Linked DNA regions of Caenorhabditis elegans. The protein of the gene in region 2 interacts with the protein of the main gene of each other region in a pairwise test. Each region holds a gene or a part of one and is shown on either strand. Other genes may lie near its edges.

Region 1 (7,004 bases), 3.0 Mb from region 2:
ATAATTAAAAAGTTCTGACTCAATTTTCAAATTTCCGGGGTACTGTAGCGCCACAAGTACGCAAACACCGAGCATCTTACGACAAAATGCACAGAAACTTAAAATTGTCTGAAAAAGATGGACCAGGGGGTAAAAAAAGGCCCTGAGTTTGAATTTCATAATGAAAAATTGCTAAAATTCATAGAATTCAAGTCATTTTTTAGTTTCTAGTTATCAATTTTAAAAAGTATACGTTTTTTCTAAAATTCCGCTGTAAACTACAAACTACATTTTGCCACGTCATCGTTTTATGCCCCATATCCACGTATTCATTAGAAATTCTGTAATTCCTGAATTCATTTTGGCATGCATTCTATCTATAAAAAAGAAGATCGAGAAGAAGAAGAAAATGAAAAAATTCGGCGTCTTCATGTGCTCCTTAATCTATTCCAACATTTTTTTTTTGGTCTGCCAGACTACAAACTACAGATTTAGAACTAGCAGACCTAAGCTTCTTGCTCAAATTTGAAAATTTCCGAAAAAAATTGCAATTGTTTTTCCAAATTTCCCGTTTTTCGAGAATTTGAACAATTTTTCCCGCGTTTTCTGCACAATTTTGACGTTTTTGGGTTACTGTAGCGCCAAAAGTACGCAAACACCGAGTCTCTCACGCGAAAATGCACAGAATCTCAAAATCATCGGAAAAAACAGTCCCAGGGGTGAAATGAGGCGCTGAACTTGAATTTGACAGTTAAAATTATCAAAAAATACCTGAAAACATTGAAAATTCAATTTTTTTAGTTTTTTCTTTCAAAATTTCTTTTTCGGAAGATATATTCGCCTGGAAATAAATTATAGGGCTATATATTAAATTTCTAACATTTTTCTTATGTTTCCTGCTCAAATTTGTCTTTTGGGGGGTACTGTAGCCCCAAAAGTCCGCAAACACCGCACACCTTACGCGAAAATGCACAGAATCTCAAAATCCTCTGAAAAAAGTGTTCTAGGGGTGAAATGAGGTGCTGAGATCGAATTTCAATGTGAAAAATTATGAAAATCGTTGGATTTTGAGAAATTTTTTTGGTTTTTCGAAAAAAACCTGCACCTCCCCACCCCCCCCCCCCCCCCTCTTTCAGGGGGTACCCCTTAATCTATTCCCACTCATTACTACATCTTTTTTTTGCTCTCATTTTCTCTGCGTCTCTCACTTTCACATACTATCTCGTCGGGAGATTAGTGTGAAGAAGACGCTACCCTCAGAGAGCAGGAAATGCGCGGAATTTATTGGAAAATGTGTGTGCTCTCTCGATGAGGGAAATGGAGTGAAGAAAGGGGGGGGAGGAAATTGAGATAACATGTCAAAACTCGTGATATGATATAGCCAATAACATTGGTGAAAATTATAAGCCAGAAAAAAACATCGCAAAAAAAAATTTTTTTTAGCAATTTTTCCCGAAAATCTTTATTTATTCAATTTTCATCAATTTTTCATGCTAAAATTCGAACTCAGCACCTAATTTTACCCCTAATCCATCCTTTTCCGACAACTTTCGGTTTCTGTGCATTCTGTCGTAAGGTCCGGTGTTTGCGTACTTTTGGGGTTACCGTACCCCCGAAAAGTTGAGTTTTTGGCAAAATGTTTTTTTCTCGAAAATCTTTATTTTATCAAGATTTTTCCTGATTTTCATGTTAAAATTCAAACTCAGCACCTTATTTTATCCATACCACACCTGTTTCCGACATTTTTGAGATTCTGTGTTACCGTACCCCGCAAGACTTAAAAATTGAGCTAGAGACTCGGAAACAAGACTTTGGCTGGAAAATTTGACAAAAAATTCGTAGGGAACTTCAATTTTGATTTAAAAAAGTTTTTTTGGAATTTCGGGAAAAAAAAATTTTAGAAAATTTTTTTTCCAAACTTATTTTCTTTATTTTTCATTTTTCACTTTCTCAATTTTTCATCTAAAAATTCAAATTCAGGTCTTGATTTTACCCCTACCACGTCTTTTCCGGCAATTTTGAGTTTCTGTGCATTTTGTCGCAAGGTCCGGTGTTCGCGTACTTTTGAACCTACAGTACCCCCGCAATACTCGAAAATTGATCTAGAAACTCGGTAAAAAAGGCTTCGGCTGTAAAATTTGACGAAAAAATTGTTGAGAAGTTAAATTTTGGAAAAAAAAATTATTTTTGGAATTTCGGTGAAAAAAAATTTTTTTTTGGAATTTTTCAAGAACAAAAGTTTTGAAAATTTTCTGAATATTTTTTCCATGATCCCCTTTTTTGAGTTGTTTTTCAACGCAATTTTCTCTGCACTCTCTTCACTCTCTCATCCACTCCATTCATCATTTTTTCCAGCGCGCATGTCTGGAACAGAGATTCACTTTTATTTTTCCTTTTTTCTTTTTTTTTTTTTGCTCCAAAACTTCTTTTCCACTACTTGAAATTTTAAGTCTTAAAAATTTCAGCACAAAATGAGCGCATTTGAATGTCGAAAATGCGATGATTTTCCGATTGAGGAGAACACGGAGGACGAGGATGATGACGAGTGTCCGACGGTTATTCGGAGGGTAGGTTTTTTCAGGAAAACCGTTGATTTTTAAAGGTTTTAACTATAAAAATCAAATTCAGCAGCGTTTTTTTGCTCCTAAACCGGTTTTTTTGCAAAAAGCAACAAAAAAATTAAAAATTTTTTTTTTTTCAAAACTCGAAATTTTTCTCGAAAACCAGCAACTTTTAAAAATTTTCATATCAAAATTCAAATTCAGCGCCACTTTCTACCCCATTCCCAGCTTTTTCAGCCAATTTTAATTTTCTGTGCATTTTGTCGTAAGGTATGGTGCATCGATTTGTGTTTGCGTACTTTTGAGGCTACAGTAATTCCAAAAAACTTAAAATTGAGCCAGAAGTTTAGAGAAAAACTTATTAAGGGTGAAAAATTACGGAGAATCCGAATTTCTTAATAAAAATTGTGAAAAATTTCAAATTTCTACAAATTTTCCAGTAAAAAATTTTCTCGGCAAAAAAACGCAACTCATTTTTGGAATTTTTCACACCGAATTTCATTTTCAACACAATTTTTTACCCCTCAAACACCATTTTAAGTCAATTTCAAAGCATTCTGCATTTTGTCGTAAGGTGCAGTGTTTGCGTACTTCTGGAGCTACAGTAACCCAAAAAATTTCAAAAATGAGCTAGAAGCTCGAAAAAAAAAAGTTTCCAGGGTAAAAAATGTCGGGAACTCGATTTTCATATCGAAAAACCAAAAAGAAGCCTCTAAAACCTCCAAATTTCCTGAATTTTTTTCCAGTCCTACTCAGCCGACTGGCTGCACAACGACAATTCCTCTGGAGGTGATGACGATTCAGAAGAGGATTCTGACGCCGAATTTCTGGTTCATCCGTGTCTTCGGAGTATTATTAAATCGAAATCCGCTTACGCAGTTCCCCGTAACTCTGATGACGTTGCAGCGGCGGCAGCGATGAAAAATAACAGAATTAAGCCGAGCAAAACAAGCTTTGAGGTGAGCTGGATGAGGAGGTGGTGGTGAAGATGTAGTTTGTAGTCTTTGTAGTTTTTGTAGTTTGTAGTTTATAGTTTGTAGTCCGTCAGACCAATGTTTTTTAGTTTAAAATTGATTGAGTCTGCCATTTGCAGGTTCATAGTTTTGTGTGGTTAGATCTGTTATTTCGAAGTTGGTAATTTATAGTTTGTAGTTTATGGTTTGTAGTTTATAATTCGTAGTTTGTAGTTTGTAGTTTGTAGTCTGTAGTGTATAGTCCATCAGGCCAAAATTTGCAAGTTTAAAATTGATTGAGTCTGTCATATGTAGGTTAATAGTTTTGTTTGGCTAGATCTGCTATTTTGAAGTCAGAGATTTATAGTTGTAGTTTGTAGTTTGTAGTTTGTAGTTTGTAGTTTGTAGTTTCTAGTTTGTAGTTTGTAGTTTATAGTTTGTAGTTTATAACTTGTAGTTTGTAGTTTGTAGTTTGTAGTTTATAGTTTGTAGTCCGTCAGACCAATATTTGCCAGTTTCAAAATGATTTGATCTGCCAAATTTAAATTTTTTGTATATATTTTACAATTTATAGTTTATAGTTTGTAGTTTGTAGTCTAGCAGACCAGAACACCATTTTTCAGATTTCCTTATCAAAAATGATGGAATCAACGAGTAAAAGCATAGCGGAAGAAGCAGAATACTCAGTAGCCGACCTACTTCCGACACTTGATGAAAAATGGCCGGACCCTGAGGAAGAAAATGAAAATTTGAAGTCAAAGCGGCGGAAATCCAATATTATGAGGTGAAAATTCGAATTCTCCATCGTTTTTCACATGTTACCCGTTTTTTCTGGGTCTCTATCGTTAATTTTGAGACTTTTGGGGTACGGTAGCCCCAAAAGTCCGCAAACACCGTGAGCGTGACGCAAAAATGCACAGAAAAACTCCGATTTTGCTGAAAAAGTAGAGATATGGGTAGAAAATCATGCTGATATTGAGTTTTGGCATGAAAATTGTTGAAAAATCATTTTTATATCGCAAAAAAGGAACATTTTCCCTGTTAATCCAAATTTTCCCCCTTTGAAACATAAAAATTCGAATTCCTCACCATTTTTCACTTCTAGAATACTTTTTTTTGGAGTCCTAGCGTAAAATTTGAAAATTTGAGGTTACTGTAGCTTGAAAAGTGCGCAAACACCCAGCATCTTACGACAAATTGCAGAAAATCTTAAAATCGGCTGAAAAGGCGGGTTTAGGGGTAAAAAATGACGCTGAGCGTGAATTTTGATATGAAAAATGTTGAAAATATCTAGATTTTGTGAAAATTTGGAAAATTTGGTTCAGTATTGGTCTGCCAAAGTCCAGCATACTCTAAACTCAAATTTCCAGGTACTCCCCGAGCCTATGTGACTCTGATCTATCACTGAACCTCCATGATAAGGATTCTGAAGATGATGAGGATCGTATTCTAAACCGCCCGTCCGGATGTTGGTCCTCGCCGCCCAACTTCTTCGATGAAACATTTCGCGGTGTTTCTCCAATGAATCGTTAGTTTGTTTACTGTAGTTTGTAGTCTAGGCTTTACTATAAACTACAAAAATTGGTTGTGAAAAAATGTTTTGAAATATCAAAAAAAAAAAAGAAAAAAAATCGAATTTTTTCCCAAAAATTTCAAACGAAATCAAATTTTGACGTTAAAATTCAGATTCCTCGCATTTTTTCACCCTAGACCCATTTTTCCTGGTGTTTCCTGCTAAATTTTGATCATTTTGGGGTACTGTAGCCCCAATAGTACGCAAGTACGCAAACACCGAGCCCCTCACGCGAAAATGCACAGTTTTCTGGAATTGCGTAAAAAAGTTGGGGTAGGGGTGAAAAATGGTGCTGGAAACGAATTTAATAGTGAAAATGTTTTAAAATCGGCAGAAAATATAAAAATTTGAAGAAAATTTTAAAAGTTGTTTTTCAAAAAAAATTTTATCCAATTGTTTTGCACAAAATCAAATTATTAAGTGAAAATTCAGATTCCTCGAATTTTTTCACTCTAGCACCATTTTCCCCCGTGTTCTCTGCTCAATTTTGACCATTTTGGGTTACTGTAGCTCGAAAAGTACGCAAACACCGAGCCCCTCACGAGAAAATGCACAGTTTTCTACAATTGCGTAAAAAAGTTGGGGTAAGAGTAAAAAATGGCGCTGAAAACGAATTTTATAGTGAAAATGCTCGAAAATCAGCGGAAAATCCAGAAATTTTGAATTTTTTGAAATAAAAAAGTTTGAAGTTAAAAAAAAATTTCCAGAAAAGTGTTGGTCAGCACCGGATCTCGAGGATATTGTGTTCAAGACATGCAATGTGTTGTATAATTATGACGTCATCGGCGGCGGGAAAATTCCAATTTTGAGGGAGCTAATCGACGAGGACTCCATTGCAATTGGGTATCCAGTTATAGAAACACCTGATAATGGTATGTAGTTTGTAGTTTGTAGTTTGTAGTCTGCTAGATTACAAACTACAAATAAAATTTGAGTTCATGGCACATGTCCCCTTAGTTTTCTGGAAAACTTATTTGGGAAATTTTGAAATTTTGAAAATTAAAATTTTTTCCAAAAATTTGAATTTGCAGCCGACCGCATGGTGCAACTGCGCTCCACGGATAATTTTGCAATTTTTCGAATTTTCTGAAGGATTTTAAAGCTGTTTCACTGACAAATTCAAATTTTCCGCCAACCAGATCAATAAATAAGCAGTTTTCTCATTAGAGCACACTTGCAGCACGCGGTCGGCGGGAAATTTGAGTTTTCGGGTAAAAAAACGTGGTTTTTGCGAATTTTTGCACTAAATAAAAAAGCGAAAAATTTAATTCAATAAATTTTGTCAAAAGTCCCAAAAAAAATTCAAAAATTTTTTTTTTTTTTTTTCCAAATTTCAATTTTTTTTTGAAAAAACCTTCCAAACGACACTCCGACATTCCGTTTTCTACAACTTTCCCAAAAAATCCCTAATTTCTGCACACCATCCTTATTTCAGACCCTTCAGTTTGCTCGTACCGTCTACCATCATCGCTCGGCTCCGCCCCCTCACCCAGTCCGCCCCGCCCACTTTCACCAGTATTCGGACAACCTGCACCCCCACAGTGTACCTAATTTTTTTTTTGAAAAATTGGAAAAAAATTGAAATTTTTTTTCCAAAATTTTTTTTTAATTTTAAAATTTTTTCAGACAGAATGCACGTGTCCCAGTCAATGCACCTACCACGTCGTCCAGATATTGAAGCATTCTTGGCAGATTGCCAGAATGATTACACTCAGGCTCCGCCTACTTTTAATATTGGCTCAGATTTGGAGGATAATATTACTGAGGAGGAGGAGGAAGACGATGAGGAAGATGAGGAGGATGTCAGAAAGACGGAAGAGGTAAAAATATAGATTTGGCGGGTATTTGAAAATATTTGAAATTTGGAAAAATAAAAAATTTCAAAAAAATTTCATTAAAAAATTCCCCGAAATATTTTTAAATCCCAAGTTTTAATGT
Region 2 (7,469 bases):
TGTGAACCGCGAATATATATTTTTTTTTAAATCAATTTTTGTTTGCTCTTTGAAAATGCGCGCGCGCGAAATTCTGATTGAACATTTTAAAAATTACAATGCGTGTTTCATTCTGTTTTGAACGCAATTGTGCAATTTTTCGATGTTGGCAACTTCTTTCCGTGAGTTTTTAGGCAAAACGCAAATTTTCTGATAAAATTTACTCATTTTTACTGCAAAATTCCGATGAATTCGAGAAAAAACCGCCGAATTCTTTTGGAAAATTTTATTTTTTATTTAAGAAAAATCAATATTGAATGTGTGCAAAAGTCCGTGACGGTGGTTGCGTATTCCATGATCGACCGTACCCCGCAGAGATTTTTCGTTCAGAATTTCCATAAAAATTCTCCGAATTTTCGCAGTTTTTGTCGTGTTCCTGTGTTGTTAAACCATGCAAAAATTAATTTTCAGCTAACCTGATGAGATCGGACCCCAGTCTAACAAATCCCGAGTTCCAAATACAGAACGAGGATTTTCCCGCGCTTCCCGGCGTCGGTTCTGGTCAAACACAGCGATCAATGCTTGGAGATCAACTGGCTAACGTACTTAAATTTAATTTAATGTCAACAAAATTTCTGCGTCGATGACAATCAAATAATCGATAAATTATTGCAGATGTTAGCAGACGACCATCAAGTCGACTTTGCTGGACCCCTAGGCGATTGTGACCCCTCGCGGCTCAGCGGGATATCAAGAAATAGTCAAGAAGGACCTATGCATGGGATTATTACTCATCCTGATGGTGGGAATACTTTAAAAATAAGCATTTAAAATAATAATTGTTAATTTCAGGCGAAGTGACAAACATTCCAGCGTCAATGCTTGACGATCAGTTTGGGATGGCGGGTTTGGTGACATATCTTCGGACAGTTGACAATCCTTCCATTGTTTCACTGGCGTTAGGTTATGATCTTACGACGTTGGGCTTGAATTTGAATTTGTCAGAGTGAGTAGTGGCCTGAAAAGCCCGAAAAGCCCAGAAAAACTCTAATTTCCCTCTGTTTCAGACGAAAATTGTACATGAACTTTGGTGGTCCGTGGGCCGATTCGCCGATTCGAGCACACGAGCTCGACGTGAAGGTGCCCGAGGAGTACATGACGCATAATCATATTCGAGACAAACTTCCACCGCTGCGATTGAATAAAGTTTCAGAAGACGTGTTATTCTATCTTTTTTACAACTGTCCAAACGAGATTTATCAGGTGGCGGCGGCGTGCGAATTGTAAGTAAAGTTTATTCCAAAAACCTGCATCGACCATGACCGCGAGCGGAGCGTCGTGTTTAAAAAATTTATTTTAGTTTTTTTTTTTCCCCGAGAATTTGTGATTTTCATGAATTTACATATGAAACGCATAAAAAATTGGCCAAAATGATAGAAAATCACTCGTTCTGGGCGAAAAACTTTCAAGAAAATCCGCTTTTTCGTTAAGATCGCATAATTGTTCATCATTTTAGTTGATTCTTATTTCGCCTCATATATAAATTTATGAAAAATCATGTGAATCACGCGTTCTTAGCGAAAAGTTAAAATAAAAATTATTGAGCCGCTCCGTTTGCAGTTACGTCGCGGTCGAAGTTCACGAATCAAATTATTAATAATTTTAAAATTTTAGCTAGAAAATTGAAAAAAACATATATTTTATGTTAGCAATTGAGAAAATCTTTTTTATCACGAAACAATCATTATATTTTCAAATTTTTTGCAGGTACGCTCGCGAATGGCGATTTCACAAAAGCGAACAGGTGTGGTTGACGCGTTCTCAGTACGGTGGAGTGAAAGAACAGACGGGAAATTATGAAAAAGGGCATTACAACGTGTTCGATCAGATGCAATGGCGAAAAATTCCGAAAGAGTTAAAGTTGGAGTACAAAGAGCTCGAGGATCGGCCGAAAATGCCGCAATCAGTTTCCGGACAACCGACACCCTACAAATACTTTTTCCAAGGACCACAATTTCCGAGCGGTCCGGAGACGGGTCTGATGCTTCAGATGCATAACTTGACGCTCGGCACAGGTGGCGGCGGTGGCGGACAAATCACTCCACCGGCACCAGCGGGTCTTAACGGAGTTATGGGTGGTGGTGGTGTTGGAGCAGCTGGAATCGGAGGAATCAATGTGCAACCGGGAGCCGTTCCATCGGCGGCGCGAGCTACTCCAAACTAAACAAGAAGAAGATGATCTCTCGTGTGCAAATTTTCTATATCCCACTTTCGTCATCTTGTTCTCGAATTGCTCCCTTTCTCTCTCATTTTCCATCTCTTTTTCCCCTCTTTCTCTCCACATTTTCTCTCCCAATCTCCCATTTTTTTCCTTCGTTTTCCTTATTTTTCCTCTTTTCTCTACGTTTTCGTATAAACGATTATCGATATACACAAGTTGCTCTTTGAAAACCTGTGATTTTTCAAAGAAAGAGCTTCACAATGACTGGCGGCGGCGGTTTTCTCTGTATTTTCAGTGGCGCAACACCGAACTGATAAGACGGGGAAAAAGGCTGAAAACAAGATGTTTGTCGATGACAAACTCGCCTACAAGGGGGTTCTGATATCGTTCCGTGATAGCAACACAGTTTCATTCGATACTATTATTGTTTGTCATGTCGTCGTTGGCTGAAATCGCGTCGAGACCCGAAAACTTGGAGCTTCTTGCTGAAGGAAAAACCAAGCAAATCTTTGATATTAAAGGAGAAAAGGTTGGTTTTTTTCACTGAAAATTCAAAAAATTTGGGAAAACATTAATTTTCTACTAATTTTTTAATGCTTTATAGATTAAAATTTAGATATTTTAAAAGCGCCTTTTGAAATCGTGATGCAAACGCGCTCCGCGAGTAATCTGACAAGCTCCGCCCCAAAACGTTGGGTCTCGTTGGGAACGTGAATTTTTGACGATCTCACCCAATTTTTTTTGCATTTTTCAACATAAAAATCGTTAAAAACAACGAGAAATGATTGGAAAGTGCTGGAATCGGCAAAAAAGTAGGATTATACGGTTTTACCGCCAATACCTAACGAGACCCGGTTTTCAGTTATCCGTGGCGCGCTTTTGCAGCCCAAGTCACATTTTTATGCGTCTACATAATATTCAGAAAAGCGTGTCCTAGAAACACGAAAACTCGGCCAACCGAATTATCAGAAGAGATTTTTCAGAAGTATGCTCAAAATAATCTTTGAAAGAAATGTTCGGTTTTCACTGTCGGTGAGTGGCCGAGGTTTCACGTTTTCTAGGCCACGCCGCAAATAGCCAGCTTGTGGCCTAGGAAATGAGAAAACTCGGCCACTCTTTCAGCACATTTTTCAAATACACGTACGGAAAATTTCCTGTAAAAACGGTGTCTGAGCTTTCACGGAGCCTAGAAAAAACTCGGTCAATTTCGTAAATTTGAAATCTATTTGAATTTTTCCGTTTGGATTGCGATAATAATGTGCTTTTCAACAAAATTGAATCCAACTTTTTCAATTTCTGAACAAAATCTTTTCAGGATTATGTGCTCATTCGTTCCAAAGATAGCTTGACCGCATTCAACGCTGTCCGTAAAAATGAGCTTGAAGGAAAGTCTAGAATCGCAAGTAAAACCACATCAAACGTGTTTGAATATCTTCAACTTCTCGGTCTACCAACACACTTTGAAAAAAGCATCTCTGAAACTGAATTTGTCGCCCGTAAATGCACCATGATTCCGATTGAATGGGTGGCACGACGTGTTGCGACAGGATCCTTCTTGAAGAGAAATCCTGGAGTTAAAGAGGGTTTCAGATTTAATGATCTGAAATTGGAGACATTTTTCAAAGACGACGCTAATGATGATCCACAATGGACTGATGAACAAATTGTGTCGAATGGTTTGATGATTGATCATTTGAAAATTGGAAGAGAAGAGATTTCATTGATGAAGAAGATGACAAAGTTGGTGTTTAGAGCATTGGAGAAAGGATGGGCTCTTTCAAATAGTGCTCTGATTGATATGAAGGTGAGGGTGTTGCAAAGTTTTTATTATTCTCTTTTTTTTTATCGGTCTCAACTTTAAAAAGTAAACATAATAAAAAGTATGTAAGTTTAATGTTCGGTCTGCAATATATTCGTTTTGTAAATATTTACATTTTGAAAGGAAATCAGCACCATTTAAAACTGGGTGTTTTCTGTAACGTGTCGATTTACGCAGCTTGAGTACTTCACGAGGAGAAGTGTGTTTTTCTTTTCGCTGAATTTTACAATTGTCGGTTGTTGTAATTTTGAAATAATTTTGAAGAAAACCTGAAAATTCCAGATCGAATTCGGAGTCACAGTTGAAGGAGAAATTCTCCTGGCCGACGTGATTGACAATGACTCGTGGAGAGTTTGGCCTGAAAATGATAGACGTCTGCAGTTGGATAAGCAAGTTTACAGGGATATGAAGGAAGTGACAGAAGAGGGGTTGGCTCTCGTTTTGAAGAATTATACAAAGGTTAGTAGGCCGAAGCTTAGGCCTAAGCATATGCCTATGCCTGAGCCTAAACCAAAGACTAAGCCTAATCCTAAGTTTTAGCCTAAGCCCATGTCTAAGCATAAGCCTAAGCCTAAGCCTAAACCTAAATTCAATCATCCTATATATCAATTGTTAGATTTTTACGCGAATCAAACCTTTCGTGTAAGCACAATAACTTGCCTGCCTGCAAGGCGATCTGCACCTGATTTCTGCCAATATGCATACCTACAATTTTCGGTAGACACGTTGAGTAGGTAGGCAGGCACATAGACACGAAGGCGTATCTACCTACCAATAACATTTCCAGGTTATGGATATCACTGCCACCTTCTCAAAACACCAGCAAAAATGCCATGTTCTTGTGATCATGGGATCTGGTTCGGATGGCGTATTCGCACGGAAAATCTCTGATGAAGCCAAGAAATTTGGACTGGAAACTACGCTGAAAGTAAGCTCAGCTCATAAAACTACCTCGGACACTCTGGAAGTTATCGCTGATTTCGAAGAAAGTGGAGTTCCGACAGTTGTGATTGCAGTAGCTGGAAGATCCAATGGACTCGGTCCAGTTATTGCTGGAAACTCGTCTCTTCCGGTAGGACTTGAAAGATCAGATGATCTTTATTTCAAAGAATTCAGGTGATCAACTGCCCGCCACCAAGTGAATCAACGAGTCTTGACATTTGGTCATCACTCCGAATGCCGAATGGAATCGGGTGTACTACAGTGTTGGACCCATCGGAGGCCGCGCTTGCCGCCGCAAAAATCCTCGCGTCTCACAATCATATTGTGTTTGGAAAAGTGCTCACTGCACAGCTCAAGAATCAAATCAACATTTACGTAAGTGATAGAGATGTGAATTTCTAATTTTTGAACTTTCAGAACGCCAATCGCAAACTTGAATAGATGCAGGACTGAATTGAAATCAGATTTTTCAAAAACTTTCTTGTGTAAATTAACTAATTACTCAACGTTCACTTTTATTTCAGCATTCTTATATTAAAAACGAAATGAAATGTTTGAATCTTAAACTTTCAACTGCACATTCCACAGCACGTGCAGAAGAAATCCACGTGTGCCGAGACATCCACGAGAAGATCAGTCTCTTGAGTCAGCTGTCTCCGTTGCTGACGTTGACGATTATGGGTATCGTAGAGTTCTGGACAAGGCATTCCGGCTGACAAAACACCTACGAGAACTTGAACATTTCGAGTGTCCGATGTTCGGACAACTCCCGAGCCACTGTCACCCTGGAATCAGTGGAAACTATTAGGCATCTTGGGCAAGTAGGCATTGTTCTGCCTACTTCTGAAGAAACACTTTTAAACTTTAAAAACAAACATCACAAGACAATCCTCTATTCACTGCCGACGTACAATACACCCCGCCATATGGGAAATCGTCGGAGCACTCCGCAACAAACGAGTATAGCGATTTCAACTTTCCAGACTCCAAAACACTATCCGAAGCTGGAATTAAAAATTTCAAAAGATCACATAAAAATCGGAACTTACGATCTCTTCCATAACCAAAAAGCTTATATCCGGTTTCTCTGATCCTCGGGATCTTTGGAGCAGATGGAAGACAGGCTGGGAATATGTCTTTTGAGAATTCGATGGGTTCTTCCAATTCGAACACGGCGATGTCGTTGAATGATTCTCGATCAATGCAACCATCTCCGACATAGCCTTTTCGGATGTAGAGCTGTAAAGAAAATATGTGTTTAGTAAGACTAAGTGAGCCTACGTCTAAGCCTAAGCCTAAGCCTAGGTTTGCGTCTAAGACTAGGCCTACGCCTTAGCCTAAGAAAAAACCAAAGCCTACGCCTAAGCCTAATTGTAAGGGTAATCTACTCACCGACTTTATCGCCAGTGGCTTGAACATATCCTTCCTATGCAATCCCTTACACATCTCTGGAACCGCACATGTCACATTAACGAATGCCACGAAATTCTTATAGTCTCTCACGAAATACGCTTCTCTGAGATTTCCAGTATCACAGTCAGGCAGAGGATCCTCACTGATTCCGATCAAATGAGCAGCTGTTACAATATGCCATGGAGAGACTAATGTTCCGGTTCCATGCTGAACAAATTCATTTTCCGAAAACTTATTTCCGCCGTTTCTAAAAGATCCCGAGCCATCAGAAATTCGCTTCTTCATAGCCAATGAGACCGCCCATGGGGCTTCACCAATTTTCACTTCTTTACCGTACAATGCCTTGTATTCCTCAGAAGTTCTGCGATGAGAGGACAAAGTGGTAAATCCTGGCACATATCTTCCACAGTTTGCTCGTAGAATCCGGTTTTCTCGTGGGCTCAGCCTTTTTGCAAAGGTTTGGTAGATCAAAATTGAAAAGAAGAAGAAACATGAAAATGTAAACCAATTCATTGAAGAAATAACAATAATTTATGAAAACAGTGACCGGTAGAAGTGAGTGAGTGAGAGATGGGGAGAAGCACCATATACACCCCCAGAATTTTATGGGGGGGGGGGGATGTTTTATAGATCGTTTTGCGTCGGCAATAAGTAATTAAATTTACAGTACTCAAGAAAACAAAGTCATTAAAGTCATGGGTCTCTGAACTCGGCATGCCAAGGGTTTCCAGAGAAAATGTGAGCCCAGAAAATGTCGGGCACTCTGAAAATTTTTTTTCGGGGGTTTGTGAAAGTGGGTAGGCACAAGGAAGGCAGGCGAGGAGCTTTAGAATAACTTCGGTAACTTAAAATCGATAATCCTTGGATCCAGATTCCGAAACCGGTGACTCTGGAGGTGCTATTACTTTCGCCTTTGTCCTGTGCTGAGATCCCCGTTCACTTTGTTTCGCGCCCAGTGGGAACTTGATTCTCTTTACTGGCGCTTTCTTCTCCACCGCCGTTACTTCGATGATCTGGGATCCTCTAGGATCCGAAGAGGCATGGCTCATTCGCTCGATTTCGTTGTTGCTCACTATCATTGGATTCAGGTCAACT
Region 3 (7,885 bases), 6.3 Mb from region 2:
TCTCAACTTATCTTTGAATAATAATTTTTTTTTCAAAACTAAAAAATAATTCAAAACCTCCTATTTCCAGATGTGGACTATCACATTGGCCTCCCAGTCTCAGAACAACATCGTGTCGCCCGTATCAGTACACCAAATATGCTCAATCGTCTTGATGAGATGTGGACGGATGTCCGTGTTGTCAAGTACATGAAATCATTGTTCAAATTGATGACGGTATGGTTTTTTTGTCAATGAAATGAATGAAATTATCAGAGTGTTCCGGTACTTAACCGGGAGTCCACAACAATCAAGTGAAATTGCAAATAGTTTCAGTTTTTGTGTGTTTCCGATTGTTCTAGTACCGGTATACTGCAGCACCGCTTATCATGTACCAATCATATGATTTGGGAATTGAAGACACGAAACATGGAAATATATTCTATAGAATGAACTTTTGTTGTTTATTTAAATAGAAAATAGTTTCAAATGCGGAAAAGTAATTATAAAAAATATACAGGAACACTATTTATATCTGACGCACAAAATATCTCGTAGCGAAAACTACAGTAACTTTTTGAATTACTACTGTAGTTGATTTATTTCTTCATAAATTATTGGTAAATCGATAAAATATTGCAATACAACACAAAAATTACAACAAAAAAAAACTTTCAAAAATCGCTACAGTAGTCTTTTTAAGATAGTTTTCGCTACGAGGTATTTTGCGCGTCAAATATGTTATGCAGTACGCAGCCTCAGAATTTAGTGCTCCCGTAATATATATTCATGTCATTTTTCAGGATCATCCACTCTCACACATTGTCAAAAATCCATCATGGCTTGAAGCAGTCTCCAGATGTACGATCAATAATCCAGATTATCATCGGTACGAGAATTGCCCGGAAAATCGAAAAAAATGTGTTCAGAAAATTAATCATAAAATTCACGTTAAAAAAAGTCAAATTTGATGGAAAATACATGAGGAAACATATAAATTTATTCTTAAACAAATACAAATAACCAGCATTTTAAGATATTTTTCGTAAAATCGAATCGGAAAAAACGGAAAAAAAAAAAAAAAAACGAAACATTTTCAATTCCGCTATATTTCATTAAAAACTATTGGCTAAAATTCAGATTTCAGCAAAATTCGGTTCTTTTTTCGAAGTTTTAAAATATTTACACTCCATAAAAGTTTTGGCTTTTTTTGTGTAATGTCGCATTATGAAATTCGGTAGTTTCGAGCAAATTTTTGTATATTTACGCAAAAAATTCTGTTACCCAGATCCGAAACTTTGCTATTTTCCCCCAAAAAATACACTACCAGGTCTCGAAGCGGCCGATTTTCTCCAATGCCAAAATTTAAGGATTACTGTAGTTTCCAAATCCTCGCTTCTTTTTGGATTTTTTACGATGTTGCATGTGAAAGTATAAAAAAATAAATGAAATGTTTTAAAATGAGAATTCAGAAACTGCCGTACTCCTTAAAAGTCGCTTCGAGACCTATTGTCATAGTTTTGAGACAAAATCTCGCATCTGACCAATATTTTATGCTATTTCATTTTTTAAAATTCATGTTTTTTTTCCAGATTGGAGCAAGCTGCCGCACTTGGAATGGGAAATGCTCGTTCTCTTGCCTCACTTTTTGACAAGGTTTGTTCTCGTTTTTTTGATAAATTTATGAGAATTTTAAGTTTTTTTTCGTTTTGTTTGAACATCGTTATCAGCTGAAACTAGGCTGATAGCGAAGAAAAGAAATTTTTAAGTCGAACAAAAAAAAAGAAAAAGGAAATTTCCTTGTGACTGTTTAAAAAAACTGAAACAAAAACGATAGTTAAGAGGATTGTTTCAGGTAAATCGAGGAAAACTTCTCAATCAGGCTACACTGAACACGATAAGCAAACCGTTCGTCAACGAGAGTGATTTCATTTTTGATGATACTGTCGCCAAGGGACACGGATTTTTCCATTTGCCCATTCATAGAGCTGGGGTGAGATTTTGAATAATCGAAAGAGGGACGAGGGATGATGGAAATTTTGAACTGAAAAATTTTAAAAAATCCATTTTCACAATAAAAAAACCAAAAAAACCAACAAAAGTCTGAAAAAACTCTTAAAGAACGAAAAAGTCAAAATTCATCCAATAAAGCAGATTTTTTAATTTTTGCCAAAAAAAACTTTTAAAAAATCCATTTTTGCGAAAAAAAAAACCACTGTCCTTTTTCCCATAAAAAATTCAAAAAAATCAATTTTTCTCAAAAAAACCCGAAAAGTACCTTTTTGCTAAATAAACATAAATTAACAAAAATTAACAAAAATTAACAAAAATAACAAAAATTAACAAAATTAAAAATAAATTAAATAAATAAACATAAAACATAAACAGCCAAAAATTAATTTTTGCATTAAAAAAGACTGAAAAATCCATTTTTGTAATAAAATTACAACTGCCGAAAAAAGCAAAAAAAAAAAAATTTTGAAACCCCCAAAAAATTAGCAAAGGACCAAAAAAAAAGAGCCCAGGTGGTGAACAGAAAACGAAAAAACAGGAGAAATTGTTGAAAAACCATTAATTTCGAATTCATTCAAAAAATGAAAATGCATAGAAAAAATATTTAAAACCCTAAATTTAGCTAAAGAACCTGCAAAATGTTAGGAGCGTTTTTTTATTTAATTTTCAGTGAATTTTTTTAATATTTTTCTTTCATAATTCGCCATATTTTCAGACTCAATTCGGCTTCGGACATACCGGGCACGGATGCCAAATGGTCATCACAGATCTCAAGAATCGAGTGACAATTGCCTACGTCACAAATGGGTTGAAAACGGGACTCTACGACTTGTGCAGGACGTACTGGGGACTTCAGACTTCTGTATATGATGTCATCGAACAAATTAATATTCAATCATAATTTATTTTATTTCATTTTTTAATTAGTGATTCCATATAGTTTTAAGATATATCCCAAATCATCCCGCGTGTTCTTTGTACAGTCCGTTTTTAATTCATTCATTCCAAGTGTCGTTCTCTCAATGTTGAAGCTTCTTCCCCCGTAATTAACTGACCGAGTGACCCCACAAAATTGCATATTTATCTGCTCTCTCTCGATTTCCTTACTAATAAACCATCAGTTCACCAGTTTTTAACCACATTTGCGGGGAGCTGGCAGGTGGTAACCCGCAAGTTGCCAGGGGCAACGAGGGTGGCTTAAGGCAAGTGGCCGCGCGGAAAAGAGCTTTCCAGGGGGAGAGGAAAGCAGGATGTCCATATTTGGAAGCATTCTAAGTCTGCAGGATGCCATAAATCGATTTCCGCAGTTTGAATATCAGGTGGGGAATATTAATTGTTAACACGAATTTGAAAAGGAATTCGATTTTTTTCAATTTTTGGATTTTTTTGTAATTTATTTAAAAATTATTATTGTGAATTTTTTAATTTTTCCATTACACATTATTAAATAACTAAAAATTGAATTCGTGGTTTATTGTTCATTTCCAACTAAAAAAATCCCTTCAATACCCAAAAAGTTGCAGTGGGGCGCATTTTCAACGTTTTAATTAAATTTCAAACGTATAATTAAAACTGAGTCTCGTCACAACAGATTTTTGTTAAATGCGGAAAGGTGTGCGTCTTTAAAGAGTACTGTAATTCAAAATTCCAGAATTTTTTTTAAATTTAATGTACATATTTTCATCTAAAAACTATTAAAAAACTAAAAAATTCCTCTGCAACGAAAGTTTGGAATTACAGTACTCTTTAAAGGCACACAACTTTTCGCATTCGACAAAAATTGTCGTGTCTAGACCGTAAACCGTATTTTCAAGGAAAAATAGCAAAAGCCTTTTTTTCAGATAAATCGCCTCGAAAAAGAGCAAAAAGACACCGAAGCCGCGTCGAGAGCAAGTTTTCGCAAACATTTTGTCAGACAGTGCCAGGAATTGCATAGACAGGTAAAAATTGCATTTTCTCTATCTGCCTTATGCCTGGCTGCCTACGGGCCTACCTACCGCCCATTATGGGATCTCCGGTTTGATTCATAGATTTTAGGTCGACCAACTTTCTATTTAATTTCAATTAATTGTTTACAAACATTGAAAAATTGTTAGGCATATGTGTAGACCGTAGGCACTCTGGTAGGTAGGCATTCTCGTGCCTACGTAGAAGTATCATTCAAGGATATCAACATATGCATACAGTTTGCAGCTCGACGATCACCGAAATCGAATTGAAAAGGCCAAAACTGACGAGACCTACAAGAAAGAAAACGCTCTAGAGCAACTTGACAAGTTGAAGCAAAGATTGACAGCTTTGAGCCCGGAAAAGGAGCAATTATCGTTTTCTGTCAGGTAAAATTATAATTAAATTCAATTTCTCTAATAAATAGTTAAATATTCAATTCCAGTGTGGACTCTCAATCAGAAGAAGAAAAACCGAAAATGGCTGCAATTGGCCGCCGAAAAAGCACAATGTATAACGATGATGAATCAGAAGATTCTGATAATGATTCAGAAATTATTGAGACGGATGTTCAGCTGGATGATCCTCTTCCGAGTCAGCCACAGCCTCCACAGCAACAGCACCAGCAACCTCAACCAAAACCCAGACAACCTATCACAATTACAAAACCTCTTGAATCAAAGACTTTGAATGAACGTCAAGAACTTGATGAAGTCATCTCAAGGCTTCAGAATCCGAGTCGTGGAGATTCTGGAGAAGTTATGGAACCAGTTGTAGTCCGTGGCAATGTTTTTGTTGCAATTGACAGTTGGGATGCAGAAGCTGAAGGGGATTTGGAGTTAATCAAAGGAAAGAAGTATCGAATCACACAGACAAGATCCGATGGTTGGTGGACTGCACTGGATGAATATGGTCAGAGGGGTCTTGTGCCAAAGACTTATTTACAACATGTTAAGGAAAAGCCGAAGAATGTGGTTTGTTACTTTTCTCTAGTATCGTTAGTTTAATAAGTAGAAATTTTCAGCCATCAAAAGTGTCTAGTCGCCTCGGAGTTCGAGATTCGGTGATCGGAATATCTACGACTACTGATCCATCAAGACGAGAAGCAAACCGGCAGGCATCTCGAGTTGATGACTGTCTTGGTAAAGCATATGACAATGACACTCACTTGTCACTAGTGTGCCATATGGCTCCGAGACTATCAACTTCAAATATTGGATTTCATGATCTTTTTTGGAGTCATTACAAGGATCAGGTAAAAGTTTAAAACTTGCAGTTTCTACCCAAAAAATGCTACAGTTTTGCCAAAAAACCTCTGAGTCTTCCTAAAAACGGCTGAGAAAATTGCTTTAAAAATTTTTACTATGAATCATTTGCTACTCATAGCAACACATTTTTTGCTCACTTTCATAAATCAACTATATTTTTTGCAGGTTTACAAGCGAACTGTCCATATATCAAAAATTATCCGTCTAGTTCGATTTGAAAAGATGCCCCTAATCGAACACAAGGCACTTGTCAGAATGGCTCTTGTCGACATCACAAATCCAAAATCCACTCAAATTGTGAGCAACGTGCACACTCTTGTGCCACGTGTCAAATCTTCAACGTGGTACTTTGAGAAAAAAGAGAGCCAGACGAGAAGCTGCATCGAGTTTTCTGATTTTGTTCTCCGCTCAAACTATCGATCTCCGACAGTGGTACTTGTTGTGGAAGCATCTCATTTGGTGAAGACACAAATAGGAATTGAGGAAAAGAGTTTGGGACATACATATCTGCGACTGATAATTGATGATAAAGCAGTGCCAAGTAGAACGAATGTTTTGTATTTGGATGATGAAGTGATGACAAAAATGAAGTTGCCGGAAGCTTCGAAAAGAAGAGTTCTGGTTCAAGTGATGGATGTTCCCAAGGATAAGGTTTCATATGTGGAGTGAGTTTTGGAAACTAAGAAAGCTGAAAATCTGGATCCCTGACCTGACTTTAAGTTCAACCCAAATTATTTTTCCAGCTCCCTCCCCGATGTCATAGTATTCAATGCTCTTTATTTACCATTCTTCCACTTTTACCGCCGACGAGCTGGAACCATTTTAATTCGGGACAATCGGAATCCATTGAGTGCTGGTAGGATTTCATACCCACCCAAACAATATTTTGAACTAATTTCAGAATTTATATCTGACCCACTTCTCTCTGTATTCCCATTTGTTTGTGACCAGCATGACATTATGGATATAATGCTGAAAATTTGGAAAACCAAAAAGAAAGTGCTCGCCAAGAAAAACGAAGCTGAACAAACTGCCGAGTTCTTCCAAACTTTTCTACACACCGCGTTTTTTATTCATGGGATTCGAATGATTTCGTATGATGTCAAAGATGATCTTACTCTTTCGATTAGGCAACAGGTAGAGCTGCTGCTCTTGGAGCTCGTTTCAAAATCAGGCTTCGATTATTGTAACATTTCAGACTATGCAACGATTTGTGGATGCATTGAATAAGGGACTTTTCAAGCAGTTCATCGCAGATCAACAATGCAAACCAATCAATATTATCGATTATTCATTGGATCTTTTAGGCAATCATTCTATTGACTAATTTATGGAGATAAAATTAAGCTCAATAAAAAATTTAACTGTGTAATAAGTTCTACTCATCTAGCATCTAAGCATAGAAATGTTTCAGTCATTGTTTCAGTAAATTTCAAGTTTTGAAATTTTTGGTTTTGAAATTTTTGGTTTTTTTGTTTAATATTTGAATAATTTAGAGTCGACTCCCAAACATAGGAGTGGTAAAACTGAGCAATGGCCATTTTTCAGTTGTAAATTTTCACACTGTACCCTCTCAAAAAATGGATTTGAAATGAAATATGTTTATTCGCAATAATGAATAAAATTGGGCGATTTTTCAGAATCACAGCCTCATCGAATTTATTCCATTAAGGGGTTTTATTACATCATGAAATTCTGCGAGCTGACGATCAGGATGTGGTTCTGAGAAATCTAAGAGTTCCTAAACTGGCTTGCCGCTGATTACAGTAGCGGCAGCGGAAGAAGCTTCAGGTGCGGCGGTAGAGGCCTCGGAAGAAGCAGCGGTTGATACCACAGAAGCTCCACTTGCAGTAGTATCTCCACCAGCTGTGGATGCAACGGATGCATCGGTTGCTCCAGAGACAGTAGAACCTGGTGCATCAGTACTCACTGGAGCAGCAGTACTTCCACCAGTCGGCTGAGTTCCTTGAGACACGGTACTTCCGTTGTCAGTCACAGGGTTTACAGTGGAGACATCGCTGGCAGTTGTGGATGGAGCAATGGTAGACGGAGCAATAGTGCTTGGAGGTGAGAAGCATGTGTAGCTGGAGTTTACATTTTGTTGGAAGCAAGAAATTGAGTTGTAAAGCAATGTGGCGGTTGTGTTGGCGTTTGCTGATGCGGTAAGTAGGTCTGGAAATAAAATGGAATACGGGAAATTTCAAATGTGAGAATTGAATTTAAGAGCACACCTGGTCAGAAAAATTTACGAACTCCAAAAATATATGCATTAACTTAAAACTTTTAAACTACAGTACAGACTTCCTGCCTATTTACCTGATGCATTATTACTAGCAACTTGAACATTATCATTCAAGCTCTGACCAGTTGCATTGACCACTGTGAAGTTCGCATTAAAACCCTGAAATCAATTGCTCAATAGTCTAGAAAAGCTTAATTGGCACAAATTTACTTTTGTGAAGGCACATGCACCGGTGTCATTAAATTTCAAAATTGTGGAATCCAATTTTGAGAGACTTGAAGCAATAGTTGCAACTTCATTGTTCAGGGTTTGTTCATCGATAGCTTGAGCCACTTCCTGAACGATTTCAATTTGAGAATTTCAGTACTATGTGAAAATGTATTGAAAATGTGTCACCTTGGGAACCACAAGTTGGAAGGTACATTGTCCATTTTGG
Region 4 (7,401 bases), on a different chromosome or scaffold from region 2:
TAAATCTTTTCAATTCATAAGAATTCTATATTTGTCTACATATATGTGTCAGGAAACTTGTCAACTTTCTCCAAGAGGTCGTATTTTTTTAACGATCGTATTTTATGTATTATCATTTCTGTCGCCTTGCTCTCAAAAGAAAATAAAAAAACTGTTGGTGATCGCTTTTCGCTTTTCCAATATGTTTAGTTTTCAGACGCACAACCATGCATTATTTTTGTGCTGTTCCTTCAATTCTTGATAGAAAATTGAAAAAAATAACTAAAAAACAACAAAAATGAAACTCCAAACTCTTTGTTGTTTTTTTCCGTGTCCTTTTCACAAGTTTTTTTCTTTTCCCATGTTCGGTTTCACTTTCAAGTACCACTTTATATTAAATATGCCAATTTCTCACTTTTCCCATCTTTTTTCATTTTTTTTTCGATCTGGTATCGATGAAGCCTTACCGAAAGCTTAGTATCAAAAACTTATTCGAATAAAAATTAATTTTAAAAGAGCTTTAGTAATCTCTTTCTCAAACTTCTTTATCTTTTGAGCTCCGTGGGAGTCTTTAGAAATGTTTAGCGATCAGAGGGAAGTTTTAAAAATTGGATTATAAGTTTCCAGAGTTCAAAACAAAAATAATCGCGTAGTAGAAATAAAGTAGAAACTAAAATTTCAGATTTTGAAAAAAAGTGGTGATACGAATGTTATTAATTTTTTTTCGATTCGTGGTTTGGAATAGTCAAAACGAAAAAATTATATATTTTTCTCAGATTTCTTTCCCAGTAAAATTCAAAATAACTTTTCGTTAATTTTTACTGATTACTATTTTTTTTGTGGTTTTTAATTTATTTATTTAAACAGCATTACTTTTCAAATCTATGAAATATTATAGCTTTTAGAATTCCAATGTCAACTCATTGTTCTAGAACTATTTGATGATTTTTCAGTTTTTAAACAAAACATTTTAATTGTACATATTTACATATATGTACAATTTCAAAACTTCTCATAAATCATGAAACATAAATATTTATTTGCTTTGATCTAAACTGTGATGCATATTAATATGCCCTTCAAATCATCAAATGCTCATTGCACATTAACCTTATCAGTACCTATAAAGTTTTGTACTCTTCTTGCAAATGATACCTATTGTTGCCACGTTCAGTGTCCTCTATTTCTCTCTTTTCATAAATGTTTCCATCGACATTTCGATTAGCATACATACATGACGATGAAAAATGAGCCACACTTCCTATTTTCCCATTTCACACACACGCCACGTATCATAAAGTCGCTGTCAATTTTCGTCATGCTCTGGTCCTCACCGCCGACTCGTTTTCTCTTTCCCAAAAATATTGAGAGCCACATTGTCTGCGTCTCTTCGTGCTCCGTCACACTCTATCGATTCAGATTTCGAGAGAAACTGAACAAGAAGAAGAAGAAGAAGAGAGCAAAGTGTGGAGTGTGCGTGTATAGAAGAAGAGGGATGAGATGGGAGAAGCCAACGTAGCGGGTTTCATTCATTACTTATTCAAAGCGGGGGTCTAGGGGACAACTACTCAACACATGTCTTCCGTTTGCTTTTCATTTTCATCAACTGTTTTTAATCGTCACACTTTGTTTACTTTCTGTCCGAGTATTCATTCAAATTAATTTTTCAGATTTTTTAGACATTTTCTTATATAGATTAAACTTTATTGCAAAATTTGAAAAAAAAAAAACTTCCCAACAAAAATAATCCTTCTAGGAAAAACCTAAAATGCTCTAAGAAGTAATAGGTGTTTATACTGAGTTTCTCTGATTTTCAAAGTTTTTTTTTTCAAATATGACCTCCTTAGAAGGATCCCATGGTGGTTCTTAATCAAAAACTAGATGTTTTCAATTTTCTGTTTGGCTCAAAAAATACCAAAAAAGTTTTGATGTACCATTGCTCAAAAATTTTGAAATTTCGGAGGTATTTTGCAAGATTATATTGCCAGGTTGACAACACCCCAGCAATTCCACACCAGGTTCGGTGGTTCCTATAGATTCCCACAAATTGACAAAAATTATACTTCTAGATTATAATCGAAAAAATAAATGTTTGTTGCTTTTTGGTAATGAGATATGGTAAACAACCCTCCAAAAAGTTTACCTGACCTTGATGCACTAATAACATCAAAAAAATGGAAACAACTCTGCTAAAGCGATGTGCACATATTTTTGCAATTTTTAGAAATTTTAGACTTCTGAAATTTCAGAATTTTTCACTCAAAGACTTAAAAAACTTCAACTTAAAAAACACCAAGATATAGGCGGAGCCTCTTTGGAATTTTTTTACATCTTCTCTTACAACTTATCAAACTCAACAAGCACCTCAAAAAGCTTTCCACTTTTTAATTAAATTCTTAATCCAGTTCCAACAGGTGTGTCCTTCATCAATTATTAATCACACGTGAAACCCCCTCACAGCTCGTTGAAATTGGATATCATAAACTGACGAGAAAGAGTCCAAGGTGTCATAATCCACTTTTCTTCCTCTTCTTCCCACTACTCTTCATCATTTTTCGAGTCTTCACAAAAAATTTGGAAGTCCTTGAATTCGATTGCTCCGCCTTTCTTTCTCAATTATTTTTCAAAATCTTAATTCCAAAAAATAACTCACAGTCTGTCGCTCACACAATTCGACACGCCACATAAGTTATTCCTCCCCAGTTTCCTTTTGTTGTTATCCTGTGGTCCTTACTCGACTTAATAATATGTTAGTTCTTACAGTACAAGTTTACTTTTATTTTAAAACAAAAAATTTCAGGAGCATCCCTGCCCGCTCCGAAATGTTAAAATGTATTGCGGCAGTGGGAACAGTTGTATGGATGACTATGTTTTTATTTCTTTATTCACAATTATCAAATAATCAATCAGGTTAGTTCAAATAAAAACTAATAGAGGAAATACGGTGAAATTTGTATTCTGTACTGAATTTTTAGTTTCAGGCGGTGATTCAATTCGAGCCTGGAGGCAGACAAAAGAAGCCATTGACAAGCTTCAAGAGCAAAATGAGGATTTGAAGAGCATTCTGGAAAAAGAAAGACAAGAACGAAATGATCAACACAAAAAGATGTGAGCTTTTATGTTTGAAATTCTGACTACTTGGAATTAAAATCTGATGTCAAGTCACACTAAAAACAAAAATAATCTTTCGTTTCAAAGAAATAAAAAAAGGATTGTCGCTAAAATGATAGGAAATTCTCTTAGAATTGCTTCGAGATTTGTATATATGACTGTACTATTTTTATTAGGAGCTTAGAAGTCTTAAATGAGCTTCTCAAAATTTGTCATCGTCAAAAAAATCTAGTTTGAAATACGAAAATTGAAGCCCATTTGAAAGAATAGATATGCTTAAAAAGTGAAAAATTGTTCAATTCAAACTAAAAGTGAAAAATTTTATTTTTCCAGTTATGGATTGGAAAAAAAAATTAAAAACTGAAAAGTCGAAAAAGGGAACTATTTTAAAACTAGTTTTTTCAAGAAATAAGTCTGAGATGTTCTAAAAATGCTTTCAGTAAAAAGTAAAAAGTTTCAGAAAAATGCATATATATATATATATATATAATTCCAGCATGGAACAATCTCATCAACTCCCACCAAATCCTGAGAACCCATCACTTCCAAAACCTGAACCAGTCAAAGAAATTATTTCAAAACCAAGCATACTTGGACCTGTCCAACAAGAAGTTCAAAAGAGAATGCTCGACGACAGAATTCGGGAAATGTTCTATCTTTTACATAGTCAAACAATTGAAAACTCAACAAAGATACTCCTTGAAACCCAAATGATCTCACTAATGGGACTTTCTGCTCAACTTGAAAAACTCGAGGGTTCCGAAGAAGAACGATTCAAACAAAGAACAGCAATAACTCAACGAATATTCAAATCAATTGAAAAACTTCAAAACCCAAAAGCATGCTCAGAAGCCAAAACCCTGGTGTGCAATCTTGATAAGGAATGTGGATTTGGGTGTCAACTTCATCATGTTACCTATTGTGCAATTACCGCATTTGCTACTCAACGGATGATGGTCTTGAAAAGAGACGGATCTTCGTGGAAGTGAGCTCTTGTCACCTTGTGTCTAAAATTTCAACGCTAAACCATTTCCAGATACTCATCTCATGGATGGACTTCTGTCTTTAAAAAACTTTCAAAATGCTCATTTGATGAAGCAGTTGGGGTATGTATGTTTTGAAATCTCCCTTGGGAAATTTTCAAACAAAAAATGAAATTTTTTCTTGCAGAACACGGAAGCTAAACCGTTTGCTGAGCCATCACCAGCAAGAGTGGTTTCCCTCGGAATTGTGGACTCACTGATCACAAAGTTAGTTTGAACTTGAACAACTACAAATACCAATACCAAAACCAATAATGTCTTTGCAAACTTTTAAGTTACATTCGCCTTGTTACAGACCCACATTCCTACCCCAAGCAGTACCCGAACAACTTCTCGAAAGTCTAACATCACTCCACTCACATCCACCTGCATTCTTTGTTGGAACGGTAGATTAATATTTTTATATTATATCTAAAACTTTCAACAATTTTCAGTTCATTTCCTACCTGATGCGTTTTAACTCTGCAACTCAAGAGAAGCTCGATAAAGCTCTCAAGTCAATTCCACTTGATAAAGGACCAATTGTTGGACTGCAGATCCGAAGAACTGATAAAGTTGGCACGGAAGCAGCATTCCATGCATTGAAGGAATATATGGAATGGACTGAAATTTGGTTTAAAGTTGAGGAAAAGCGACAAGGAAAACCATTGGAAAGGCGAATTTTCATTGCATCAGATGATCCAACTGTAGTACCAGAAGCCAAAAATGACTATCCGAATTATGAAGTTTATGGAAGCACTGAAATTGCAAAGACAGCTCAGTTGAATAATCGATATACAGATGCTTCATTGATGGGAGTCATCACTGATATTTATATACTCAGTAAAGTCAATTATTTGGTTTGCACTTTTTCAAGTCAGGTGAGAAATTTTTTATCTGAAAAAAATAATTGGATAAACGGGTTATTAGTGTGTACTATAATAAAATGTTCAGCTTTCAAGTTATAGTCCATGTACAAATTTTGATCAAAACCGGACCCATAAAACGGAGAATGTTAAATAATTTGAACTCCACATTTCGTTAGGTTGTAATATTTTCTAACTATGTCAGTCTCGGAGTTATTCTGGTTTAAAAATTGGAAATACACCCAAAAAGAGCCAGGCAGTTTCGTAGCTACATATAATTAGCAGGAAGTTTTGTTCACTAGTATTGTACATAGTAAAGCAAATAGACACTCATATACTTTTGACAAACTCAGAGTTTTGATGATTCTCACTAATCCTATGTAAAAGTCCACAAAACAAACTTTCAGGTATGCCGAATGGGCTACGAGTTACGACAACCATCAGGAGCTGACGATGGATCAAAGTTCCATTCACTTGACGATATATACTATTTTGGAGGTCAACAAGGTATGCATATAATAGTTACTGAAACAAAAGTATCTTAGTTTTCATAATTTCAGCTCATGAAGTAATTGTTATCGAAGATCATATTGCTCAGAACAATAAAGAAATCGATTTGAAAGTTGGTGATAAAGTTGGAATTGCTGGAAATCATTGGAATGGATATTCTAAAGGAACAAATCGACAAACGTATAAGGAAGGAGTATTCCCATCATATAAAGTGGTGAATGATTGGAGAAAATTTAAATTCGAAGCTCTTTTAGATTAGGATATATTTTATTTTTATTTTTATTTTCCGTATACTTCCCTTTTAGCTCTTTATTCATGTTTATCAATCTAGTTTTTGTACTTTTTATCGGGTTTATATTGACACCATCGTTATTCATTGCGGTTTTTCATTGGCAAATTTCTGTGATTATATTAAGCCACATCCGTTTATTGTTGTATTTTCTGTTGTTGAATTTGCAATATTTTTTTAAAAGAAACAATTTGAAAATTGTTGAAATGGGTGAGACGATCTTTCTTTCTATTTATGAATATATAATAAATGGTGAGATGTTTTTCTAGATAAAGTGAAATTTTTGGGTCGTCTGCTTAATATACAATCTGCCTAATATGTACACAAAAACCCGTTTTCAAAAGAAACACTGGGCTAAACTTTGATTAGTATAAAAGGAGTGTCCATTGACTGAATCTTAGAGATCATGAAACTTCTTCTAGTATTACTTATTAGCTCTTCAGTTGTCGTTGGACAACAAGTGGAAACACAGAAACCAGACGATTTCCTTTGGAATCGATGGGGTAAGTATATGAACGGTAGAGAAATCTGAAATAATTGCTTTGTAGAACCAAGAACAATTGATTGTGTGAGCAGTGGAAAGAAAGATGACTGTGTTCTTCTCGCACCAAACTCAAGAATTCCATTTGACATCACCAAATTTAAGTGAGTTTAAATTCAAGTGGGAGGATAATAAAATAATACAAAAATTTTCAAATTAATTAAAAATGTATCAAAACAAAGTTTTGATAATTTATTTACTTACTTACTTACTTTAGTAAATAAAAAGTTTTGGTAAATTGCCAAATTTTCAATTTTCTTGAAAATTTGGCAATTTTGAAACTTTTTTCGCATTTTCGCACCAAATGCTTAAATATAAATATCTTGAACATAATTAAAATACAAATTTTATATGAAAAAGTTAATTTTTTAATCGGCTTTTTAATTTATGATTGGCGAAGACTGAGTTGCCACCTTTGACTGTAAATGAAAAACTTAACAAATTTTTCCATAGTTTAACTTCACATTCAATATCTACTCTGCTAATTTGCATTTCAATTTTACCACCCAATCTTGTTGTTCTTTCGTCATGGTCCCATTTTCTCAAATTCAAATTTTTGAGCAGCTGCAAAACCGTTTCAAAAATTTTTGAATATATTAAAGCCGATCCTTGCATAAAATAGTCAAACTTTAAAATTAAACCCGCCGATGCGATGCGATGCGAAATCCAGGAATCCGGGAAAAATTTTATTTTCAGATTAATGCACTTTCTGTCCCTGTGGTGAATTCCAAACCTACTAAAAGTTTTCCAGATGCCGACGTGAACCAATGCCACAAACCAACTGGAACACATTAGCTGTGAACTCAACAACTCGATTGGCATGCCCACTAAACTGTCCTGTTAATTTTGATCTTTCGGTACGTCCCTCCCTTTTCATCAATTTTTTGATCGAACTAAATACTTCACAGGTTCTTCAAAAACAACCATACGTGAACAAGAACTGCCAAAAGTACTACACTTATGGAAAATATTGGGATGTAGCTGCCAATGATTGGTACATCTGGCAGACCGAGCCATGCGTGGCTGCAATCTCAACTCACTGCCGGTTCAATGATGTTCCACATAACTACAATCCAGCAAAAA

What was found.
Region 1: the proteins of paic-1 (region 2) and jip-1 interact in a two-hybrid assay, tested with the Caenorhabditis elegans proteins (one large-scale study listed by BioGRID).
Region 3: the proteins of paic-1 (region 2) and nphp-1 interact in a two-hybrid assay, tested with the Caenorhabditis elegans proteins (one large-scale study listed by BioGRID).
Region 4: the proteins of paic-1 (region 2) and fut-8 interact in a two-hybrid assay, tested with the Caenorhabditis elegans proteins (one large-scale study listed by BioGRID).

Annotation. Positions count from the first base shown.
Region 1 is NC_003280.10:1,324,551-1,331,554, forward strand, and holds the start of jip-1 (PID domain-containing protein), read left to right. Parts: upstream 1-2,444; 5' UTR 2,445-2,450; coding exon 2,451-2,546; intron 2,547-3,286; coding exon 3,287-3,499; intron 3,500-4,116; coding exon 4,117-4,277; intron 4,278-4,863; coding exon 4,864-5,021; intron 5,022-5,773; coding exon 5,774-5,938; intron 5,939-6,501; coding exon 6,502-6,609; intron 6,610-6,692; coding exon 6,693-6,886; intron 6,887-7,004.
Region 2 is NC_003280.10:4,367,680-4,375,148, reverse strand, and holds paic-1 (Phosphoribosylaminoimidazole-succinocarboxamide synthase), read left to right. Parts: upstream 1-2,623; 5' UTR 2,624-2,633; coding exon 2,634-2,729; intron 2,730-3,241; exon of another isoform or gene 3,242-3,311; intron 3,312-3,515; coding exon 3,516-4,004; intron 4,005-4,301; coding exon 4,302-4,478; intron 4,479-4,806; coding exon 4,807-5,091; intron 5,092-5,135; coding exon 5,136-5,336; intron 5,337-5,378; coding exon 5,379-5,402; 3' UTR 5,403-5,524; downstream 5,525-7,469. Other genes in the region: ntl-2.1 (NOT2/NOT3/NOT5 C-terminal domain-containing protein), read left to right, coding at 451-581, 655-781, 832-985, 1,047-1,262, 1,747-2,203; try-9 (Peptidase S1 domain-containing protein), read right to left, coding at 5,531-5,746, 5,838-5,965, 6,011-6,200, 6,354-6,659; Latrophilin-like protein LAT-2, read right to left, coding at 7,220-7,469.
Region 3 is NC_003280.10:10,647,587-10,655,471, reverse strand, and holds nphp-1 (Nephrocystin-1-like protein), read left to right. Parts: upstream 1-3,215; 5' UTR 3,216-3,242; coding exon 3,243-3,311; intron 3,312-3,833; coding exon 3,834-3,932; intron 3,933-4,185; coding exon 4,186-4,328; intron 4,329-4,384; coding exon 4,385-4,913; intron 4,914-4,963; coding exon 4,964-5,194; intron 5,195-5,372; coding exon 5,373-5,872; intron 5,873-5,950; coding exon 5,951-6,063; intron 6,064-6,108; coding exon 6,109-6,344; intron 6,345-6,405; coding exon 6,406-6,534; 3' UTR 6,535-6,579; downstream 6,580-7,885. Other genes in the region: lact-3 (Beta-lactamase-related domain-containing protein), read left to right, coding at 71-216, 783-868, 1,572-1,635, 1,835-1,972, 2,708-2,893; M28.10 (Flo11 domain-containing protein), read right to left, coding at 6,949-7,379, 7,524-7,608, 7,660-7,785, 7,846-7,885. UniProt on the Caenorhabditis elegans protein: Plays a role in the extension of dendrites from phasmid ciliated sensory neurons. May be necessary for initial assembly of the cilium.
Region 4 is NC_003283.11:5,985,631-5,993,031, reverse strand, and holds fut-8 (Alpha-(1,6)-fucosyltransferase), read left to right. Parts: upstream 1-2,779; 5' UTR 2,780-2,801; coding exon 2,802-2,889; intron 2,890-2,960; coding exon 2,961-3,087; intron 3,088-3,586; coding exon 3,587-4,075; intron 4,076-4,126; coding exon 4,127-4,196; intron 4,197-4,260; coding exon 4,261-4,340; intron 4,341-4,428; coding exon 4,429-4,519; intron 4,520-4,567; coding exon 4,568-4,993; intron 4,994-5,385; coding exon 5,386-5,485; intron 5,486-5,538; coding exon 5,539-5,747; 3' UTR 5,748-5,961; downstream 5,962-7,401. Other genes in the region: C10F3.7 (DUF7808 domain-containing protein), read left to right, coding at 6,184-6,280, 6,326-6,422, 7,070-7,175, 7,227-7,401. UniProt on the Caenorhabditis elegans protein: Catalyzes the addition of fucose in alpha 1-6 linkage to the first GlcNAc residue, next to the peptide chains in N-glycans. The addition is prevented if the GlcNAc residue is already fucosylated.